Callithrix jacchus: one gene and its partner. The protein of the gene in region 1 purifies or fractionates together with the protein of each later gene. This does not show direct contact. Links are inferred from orthologs where the notes say so. Each region holds a gene or a part of one and is shown on either strand. Other genes may lie near its edges.

What was found.
Region 2: the proteins of NELFE (region 1) and NELFCD purify together in Homo sapiens (affinity purification with mass spectrometry; 9 studies listed by BioGRID and IntAct, counting the BioPlex papers as one, with this or other methods). This does not show direct contact. The link is inferred for Callithrix jacchus from reciprocal best matches to the Homo sapiens genes NELFE and NELFCD.

Annotation. Positions count from the first base shown.
Region 1 is NC_133505.1:39,471,213-39,475,487, reverse strand, and holds the end of NELFE (negative elongation factor E), read left to right. Parts: intron 1-471; coding exon 472-546; intron 547-666; coding exon 667-704; intron 705-870; coding exon 871-1,226; intron 1,227-1,338; coding exon 1,339-1,483; intron 1,484-1,650; coding exon 1,651-1,705; intron 1,706-1,947; coding exon 1,948-2,050; intron 2,051-3,359; coding exon 3,360-3,457; 3' UTR 3,458-3,530; downstream 3,531-4,275. Other genes in the region: CFB (complement factor B), read right to left, coding at 3,713-3,868, 4,128-4,177, 4,259-4,275. UniProt on the Homo sapiens protein: Essential component of the NELF complex, a complex that negatively regulates the elongation of transcription by RNA polymerase II.
Region 2 is NC_133506.1:54,549,251-54,553,664, reverse strand, and holds the start of NELFCD (negative elongation factor C/D), read right to left. Parts: upstream 2,974-4,414; 5' UTR 2,964-2,973; coding exon 2,877-2,963; intron 1-2,876. UniProt on the Homo sapiens protein: Essential component of the NELF complex, a complex that negatively regulates the elongation of transcription by RNA polymerase II.

The DNA of each region.
Region 1 (4,275 bases):
AAAAAAAAAATAAGAAAAAACAATGCCAGGTGCAGCAGTGGCTCATTCCTATAATTTTAGCACTTTTAGGAGGCTGAGGCAGGAGAATTGTTTGAGCCCAGGAGTTTTAGACTAACCCTGGCAACATAGTGAAACCTGTCTCTGCAAAGAAAAAATACAGAAATTAGCCAAGCATGATAGAGCGCACCTCTAGTCCCAGCTACTAGGGAGGCTAAGGTGGGAGGATTGCTTGAGCCTGGGAGGTCAAGGCTGCAGCAAGCTATGATTGCACTATTGCACTTCAGCCTGGACAGCACAGCAAGACCCTGTCTCAAAAAATAAAACCACATAGTCAAATAAGAAATGTACATAGAATTAAAAGGAAAAACAGATCAGAGGAAACCTAGAAGAAGGTGAGCAAAGAGGAACACCTTTGTTCCATGGTTGGGCAGCCTTCTGCTCCACACTGAGGGAGGTCCCTCACCTCTCCAGGACCCTGAGAAGGGACCAGTCCCCACTTTCCAGCCCTTCCAGAGGAGCATATCTGCTGATGATGACCTTCAGGAGGTAAAGGCTCCTAATTTTCTGTCTCTGAGGGGTTGGGGATAGAGGAACATGAGAGACTAACGTATTTTGCACCACATGTCAGCAACTGGGAATCTTAACTATTATTGGTCTCTTTTACAGTCATCCAGACGTCCCCAGAGGAAATCTCTGTATGAGAGGTTAGAGAGTAGAGATAAGACTGGGCCCACTTGGCGGGGTTGATTGCCTGAGTCCTTGGGAGGTTTGGGCTGTAGGGGCTGTGCTGTTGAGGGAGTGTTGAGTCTCCACAGGGTCTGAGGGGAGAAGGTAAAAGCCCCCTTTGATCTTCAGTGTGCTTCTCCCCAGCTTTGTGTCTTCTAGCGACCGGCTTCGAGAACTAGGGCCAGATGGAGAAGAGGCAGAGGGCCCAGGGGCTGGTGATGGTCCCCCTCGCAGCTTTGACTGGGGCTATGAAGAACGTGGTGGTGCCCGGTCCTCAGCCTCCCCTCCCCGAAGTCGCAGCCGGGACCGCAGCCATGAGAGGAACCGGGACAGAGACCGAGATCGGGAGCGGGATCGAGACCGGGACCGAGACAGAGACCGGGACCGGGACCGGGACAGGGATCGGGATCGAGAGCGGGACCGGGACAGGGATCGAGACCGGGATCGGGAGCGGGAGCGGGACCGAGACCGAGACCGAGACCGAGAGGGTCCTTTCCGCAGTGAGTGAGCTTGCCTGGAGGTCAAGGTGACCTTAACTAAGGTTTATGTGGGTCCTACTATGTGAAGTGTGGCATGGGCTATGTCTTGTGACTGTGATTCCTGATCCCAAAGGGTCGGACTCATTCCCTGAACGGCGAGCCCCTAGGAAAGGGAACACTCTCTATGTGTACGGAGAAGACATGACACCCACCCTCCTCCGTGGGGCCTTCTCTCCTTTTGGAAACATCATTGACCTCTCCATGGACCCACCCAGAAAGTAAGGATGACAACAGGGCAGGATGAGAAGGAAGTCCTGGGGGAATCCTGGGGTATGAGACCTGAGGGAAGAAGCTGCCCTGCCTGCAGCCACCTATGATCACTGGGTTTGGTTGGGTCCACAAGAGCCCACTGGCTCTCCACTGACCCTGTTTTCTCTTATCCTAGCTGTGCCTTCGTCACCTATGAAAAGATGGAGTCAGCAGATCAGGCCGTTGCTGAGGTTGGAACTTCCCAAATCTGTTCTTCCCATCGCTTCTGCTGTTCTCATATTTTCTCAAAATACTAGATGCCAGGAAGAAGTTGGTTCCTCTTGATAGAGAAAGTCTCCCTATTCACGCAGAAAAACTTATATTCTCAGATTCCTATTCAGTCTACTCCTAGGATAGCAACCCCTGGAATAACTTCTTTGGTTTATCTGTAATGTTTTGTTCCCCGTCCTCTGCCTCCCCTCTTCTGCTTCAGCTCAACGGGACCCAGGTGGAGTCTGTACAGCTCAAAGTCAATATAGCCCGAAAACAGCCCATGCTGGATGCCGCTACTGGCAAGTCTGTTTGGGGCTCCCTTGGTAAGAATGGGATTCTTCCTTCCCCATCGTCTCTCCCACAGCCCACTCCTTTTGGTTTCCCCTCATGTACTTGGGTTTCCGAGAGATGACAGAGGTCAGTTTGTGTGGAGGCTGTGGGGATGGGAAGGAAAATTTCAGATCCTCCGTCAGAGGTAAAGAAAGGAGAGAAAAGGATTGAAAGCAACTTCCAAAGCAGTGACTGAACAGGAAAGAAAGTGGCAGCTGGAGTGAGATTGGTGAGAAAGATGAGTGTCTCATGGGACTTGTTCATTTCAAGATGGAGTAGAACAAGTTTCATCAGTATTTAAAATCAGCGATCTGGAACTCAGGTGTGAGGTAAGGAATGAAAACATAGATTCAGTCATCCACATCACAGCGATGCTCCCAAACAATAACAGGGAGACTGATTTCAGAGGGAAAAAACGACCCAGGACTAGGCTTGAGGAGTACTCAGGGACTGTGTTAGGAAACAGGACTGTCCTCCTCATGCCCCACGTATCCCCAGCTCTCCTGATGTGTTAGGCTAACGTTGAGCCTGATGTAGCAAAGGAGACAGGAGCAGGAGTCGGGGCTGGGAGCAGCATCAGAGGGGCCTGGGTCACTGAAGCCAAAGGACACACACTTTGAGATGAGAGAGTAGCCAGTAGTGTCAAGGTACAGAGATCACAGGGTGGGAAGTGGGTAGGAGCCATTCTCTCTAGCCCCAGAGTGGTGGGGATGGAATTGTTAGATAGGGTGAAAAGAGTGACATGTCTGATGGAGGGAAGAAAGAGAAAGGGGAAGAAATAGCCAGGGACTTGAGAGAGAATGGTGAGGGCCAAAGCTACACCCTGGATGAGTTCTCCTGGTGGAGCTAGTAGCATTTCTTAGTGTGATTAACCATTCTACCTGAAAGTAGATGTTCCTGGGAAAGAAGTGAGCAGAAAGAAGGGCTCAGAGCAAGAATGACCCTTCAGACAAAATGAAGGAACTAGAATTGACTAGCATGTCAACAAAGGGCTACAGAGGTTTTCTAGTTTTTAACTTTTGACATACTATAAGTAGTGGGTAACATCGTTCACGTGTCTCAGCAATGACATTTGGGATTTTTCTAAGAACAAAACATTCATCATAATATCCACTTGTACTCTTCTTGGCCATGGGTTGGCACGAAGGAGCTAAGGGAGACAGACAATCCTGGCCACCAGAGGGCAGTGTGAAAACTTGGCTTCCAGAGACCCCGGCCAGGAGTGAGGTAGTCCAGAGTCGGCCTCAGGGTCTGATCTGTGTTCTCCTTTAGACCTTAACTCTTCCTCTCCTCCCTCCCTAGCTGTCCAGAACAGCCCTAAGGGTTGCCACCGGGACAAGAGGACCCAGATTGTCTACAGTGATGATGTCTACAAGGAAAACCTTGTGGATGGCTTCTAGGGACCAGAGCTGGATTCCTTGTGCCTCATATGCCCCAATGCTGGTCTCAGTAAAACACTGAGGTGGAAGCTTACACATCTCCCTCAGCCTCTGGTTTTTCAGCACTTGGGATTGGGGTTAAGCCTTTAAAAACGGCTGTGAGGTTTGATCTCTGTAACAACATGGCCAGTGCCTGTTCCCCACTCCATCGCCCCAAAAGGATCTGGAACACAGGTGTTGTCGCAGCTGTTTTAATTCAGTCCAGCAGGAAACCCCTTATAGAAAACCCAAATCTTCATCTTGGAGTTTCTCCTTCAGCCAGGGCAGCACTTGGAAGAGGTTAATGTGAAAGTCTCGGGCGTGAGCAGGTACCTGCTTTTGCCGCCTGTGGTTTTTGCAGACGTCCACTACTCCCCAACTGATTACACCAACCTGCAGAGGCAGAGGGGTGCCGTGGATCATTCAGTAGACCTCCTTTCTAATCCTGGAAGCATGGCTGATCCTGGTTGTGTCTTAGCTGACCTAAAGGAATCAGACTAGGGACCCAGCTCAGTCTTGTTCGTTCAGACACAGGCCAGACATGTGGCCCTGAGGTGAAGCAGGCCCTGGGCTCAATATACATTGAGCTTTCCTGCTTTCGGGCCTGTGCTGACCACTTGGCATCTCCCCAGATAGGAAAGGGAGGACTCACTTGAATGAAACGACTCCTCTTGTGAACAATCAAGGGGCCGCCAGAATCGCCTGCAGGGAGAGGAGAAGCTGTAGGGAAAAGGACTCCTGGGCCTTGGGAACTTGCCGCACAACCCCAGAGCCTTCTCTCACCTCTGCAAGTATTGGGG
Region 2 (4,414 bases), on another chromosome or scaffold:
ATAAAAATGAAATGAACATCTGGTCCACCCTCCTCATCAATGAGAGCCCACTGGTGTCAATGGGATACATTAGGATCATGATCAAAATTCCCCAAACATGAGGCCGGGCATGGTGGCTCATATCTGTAATCCCAGCACTTTGGGAGGCTGAGGCAGGCGGATCATGAGGTCAGAAGTTCAAGACCAGTCTGGCCAATATGGTGAAACCCCATCTCTACTAAAAACTACAACAATTAGCCAGGCAATTAGCGAGCCTATAGTCCCAGCTACTAGGGAGGCTGAGGCAGGAGAATCGCTGGAACCTGAGAGATAAGAGTTGCAGTGAGCCAAGAGTACACCATTGTACTCTAGCCTGGGCAAGAGCAAGACTCCGTCTCAAAAAAAAATTCCCCAATCTTCCAACAGCAGGGTCTAGAGTTGGAAGTGAAGGCAGATTAGATGGCCCTTACATTCCCCAGTTCTAACACTTTTTGACTCAGCGGCTCAAGGTGAGGCCAGGGGTGGTGGCTCAAGCCTATAATCCCAGCACTTCCGGAGGCTGAGGCGGGCAAACTACTTGAGGCCAGGAGTTTGAGACCAGCCTGGCCAACATGATGAAAGCCCATCTCTACTAAAAATACAAAAATTAGCCTGTAATCCCAGCTACTTGGAAAATCACTTGAACCCGGGAGGCAGAGGTTTCAGTAAGCCAAGATGACACCACTGCAATCCAGCCTGGGCAACAGAGTGAGACTCTGTCTGAAAAAAAAAAGAGAGAGAGAGAAAAAGTCTCGGCGTGGTGGCTCACGCCTGTAATCCTAGCACTTTAGGAGGCCGAGGCAGGCAGATCACCTGAGGTCAGGAGATCAAGATCAGCCTGGCCAACATGGTGAAAGTGAAACCCCATCCCTACTAAAATACAGAAATTAGTTGGGCATGATGGCAGGTGCCTGTACTCCCAGCTTCTAGGGAGGCTGAGACCACAGAATCACTTGAACCTGGTAGACAGTGGTTACATGAGCCGTGATCGTACCACTGCACTCCAGTCTGGGCAGCCCAGTGAGACTCCCCCCCACCCCCAAAAAAAAAAGAAAGAAAGAAAAAAGTCTCAAGGTGATATACGAGATGCCCCAAACACCAACCCACCACTAAGATAATTCATACCCTCTCATCTGGACCACTTTGGTGGTCAGCAATTTGATGAAGCTGCAATAGAGGCAAATGACATGGGTTTGGGTCCCCTCTCCTTCCTTTATTAGTTTCATGACTTTGGGAAGGTCATTAAGTCTTTCCACCTCACTTTCTTCACTTACCAGATAGAGTAACACCCAACTCAAAATCTTGAGTGTGGAAGGTGATAATGCATGAAGCACATGGCCCAGGCTCTCAGCCACATCTGACTCTCTATCCACTCTACCCTAAGCCTCCAACGCTGTGAAATGATCCAACATGCAAATCTACTCATATCACCTCCTGCCCCAAACTCCTGAACAAGCCATTCAGCGGCTCTCCAAGGATCTTCAGACCTGCTCCCTACTGACCTCCTGCCACTGCTTCCACCAGGCAGCTAACCTCACAGGCCTTCTTTCAGTTCCAGAAACACATCGCCTGTCCTGTTATTTGCTACCACAGCTCCGAAGCCGTCATCACACCACCATCCATGTTCATTGAAGTAAGCCCACTGCATCCTTCATTCCCTCAAAATACCAGTTCAAAATGGACCAAATATCCCCATTGTTGATTCTTGTTAAAAATGCAAGTTCCTGGGCCAGGCGCATGGGTCACACCTATAATCCCAGAACTTTGGAAGGCCGAGGTGGATGGATCACCTGAGATCCAGAGCTTGAGGCCAGCCTGGCCAACATGGTGAAACCCCCTCTCCACTCAAAATTTTAAAAAATGAGTGTGGTAGCAGGCGCCTGTAATCCCAGCTACTCGGGAGGCTGAGGGAGGAGAATCACTGGAACCAGGGAGGCAAAAGTTGCAGTGAGCCGAAATTGCACCATTACACTCCAGCCTGGGCAACAAGAGTGAAACTCTGCCTCAAAAAAAAATGCAAGTTCCTAGGCTCTCGTGCAGATCAACTGTAGGGACCTGAGAAGCTGCACATTTCAATCATGCGCAGCAGGTGGGTTTTAAGATTAGAAAAAGGCTCCGGCCAGTTGTCCTGGCGCTTGAGGAAGCGAGGCTGAGTTCAAGGCCAACCTGAGCAACATAAGAAGCTCTCATTAACAAAAAAAAAAAAGGTTAGAAAAAGGTGGTGACAAACCAGCCTGACTAGAACTGCCTTCCCTGGCTCTGCAGGCCCTGTCCTCAGGGGAGAATAGAGTGACCCCTCCTGGGCTTCCACTCCAAACCCTGGAAGGTCAAGGCCAGAAGATCCTTTTCATTATTTTGTCCAAAGACAGATGAAATCGGCCAGGGGTGCTGAAGAGTACAGTTTATAAAACAGTGAAACACAGTAGGAATGCCCAAAGTTTTACTTTTTCCCCACGATGCTGGTGTGAAGTTTTCCATTTTATTTTTGTTTAAAACTGTCTGGGCTTCGAGCCCAACCCTCCACCTTAGTATTGGTGTCCCACCCGCCGTGGGGGTCGCAGGGCCGGCGCCGAGGCTGGCCGGAACGAGGGGTCACTGGGGGCTTCGGGCTGTCCCGCTCCAGAGCCACCGCCGCCTCGTCCCCGCCCCACGGTCCTGCAGGCGAAGACGCAGGGACCCCGGGCTGGGGGGGCGGGGCGGGCTGTGTAGAACCACACGGAGACCGCGCAGGCCGTGCGCGCGCACACACCCCGCACGCCCGCGGCCTCGCGCCGCGCGGGCTTGCCGGGAGCGGAGCCGGCCCGCCGGCGGCGGAGACGAACGATCCTCGCCGGGGAGCGCCCGATGCCCCGCCTTACCTGGCCGCCGTCAGCCTCGTCGCCCGACTCGGCCGCGCTCCCGAAGTAGTCCTCATCCATGATGGCTCCCGGCGCGGACACCGCCATGCTCTACCGCGAGCTAGCGTGGCGCATGCGCGAGGCGAAAACGGGCGAGCGGACGCACGCGCGGCCCCGCGGCCCCGCCCCCCGCGCGCTCGGCCCGGGCGGGAGGCGGGGCTTGGAGGAAGGGGTGGGGCCTGGAGGGGGAGCAGAGCCGCGGGCTTCCCGCTAGGAACAAAGAGGACCGGGCGAAAGGAACGCCCCCCAATCGGTTTCTGAGCGCTGCTAGGGTGGGCCAGGGGCTTATGCAGAGAGGTTTCCAACTGGACTCGTGCACGGTCTCACTCCTGTTGCACCAGCCCTGCGAGCGCCAGTTTCTTCATCGGACAGCTGGGAACAAATTCTTTGGGGAGTGTCTAGAACCCACGAAAGTGTTTTAATTTCTTTTATTTTTGGTAAAAAGTACTAAACGCGGCAGGGCGTGGGGGCTCACGCCTGTAATCCCAGCCCTTTGGGAGGCCTCGGAGGGCGGATCACTTGAGATCAGGAGTTCGAGACCAGCCTGGCCAACATGCTGAAACCCCATCTCTACTCAAAATACAAAAATTAGCCAGGCGTGGTGACGGGCGTCTGTAATCCCAACTACTAGGGAGACTGAGGCAGGAGAATCGCTTGAACCCTAGAGGCGGAGGTTGCAGTGAACCAAGATCACACCACTGTACTCCAGCCTGGGCAACAGAGTGAAACTGTGTCTCAAAAAAAAAGAGAGAAAAGAAAAGAAAAAGTACTAAATGCAGTGGAAAGTAACGTTTTTAATTTTTTTTTTTTAAATGGAGGAAAGGCCCGCAAAGCAAAAGTGTCCAGAGCCCACAAAAATCTCTGGAGAAAGGACCTCCCTGGTAGCTGCCAAAGGGCGCAGGTGATGCTGTTGTGAAGCCCGCAGCACACTTCTAATGTGAAGTAGGGAGTAAGAACATGACAGCCTCTTGATAATCACGGAAAGGCTTTTGTTGGCTGTTGAGTGTGTGTGTGCTTTTTTAATTTTAAATTTGGTACATGTGCAGGTTTGTTACATTGGTATATTGTGTGATGCTTCTAATAATCCCTTCACCAAAGTAGTGAACATGGTACCAGATAGGCAGCTTTTCAACCTTTACCCGCACCCCCTCACCCCCCCCCCACCCCACCCCATCTCCCACACCTTCTGCCTTTTGGAATCCCCTGGGTCTGTTGTTCCCATCTTTGTGTCCAAATCGTGGAAAATTTTAAGCAGGGTGAAATTTTAACGCCATCAGATCTGGATACTTTAAAAGGAAATTTCCATGGCTGACCGCCGTGGCTCACACCTATAATCCCAGCATTCTGGGAGGCTGAGGTGGGAGGATTGCCTGAGGCAAGAGCTTGAGACCAACCTGGGCAACATACAGAGACATCCCCATCCCCTCGGCCAGGTATGGTGATGCATGCCTGCAGTCCTAGCAGCTCAGGAGGCTGAGGCAGGAGGATTGTTTCAGCCC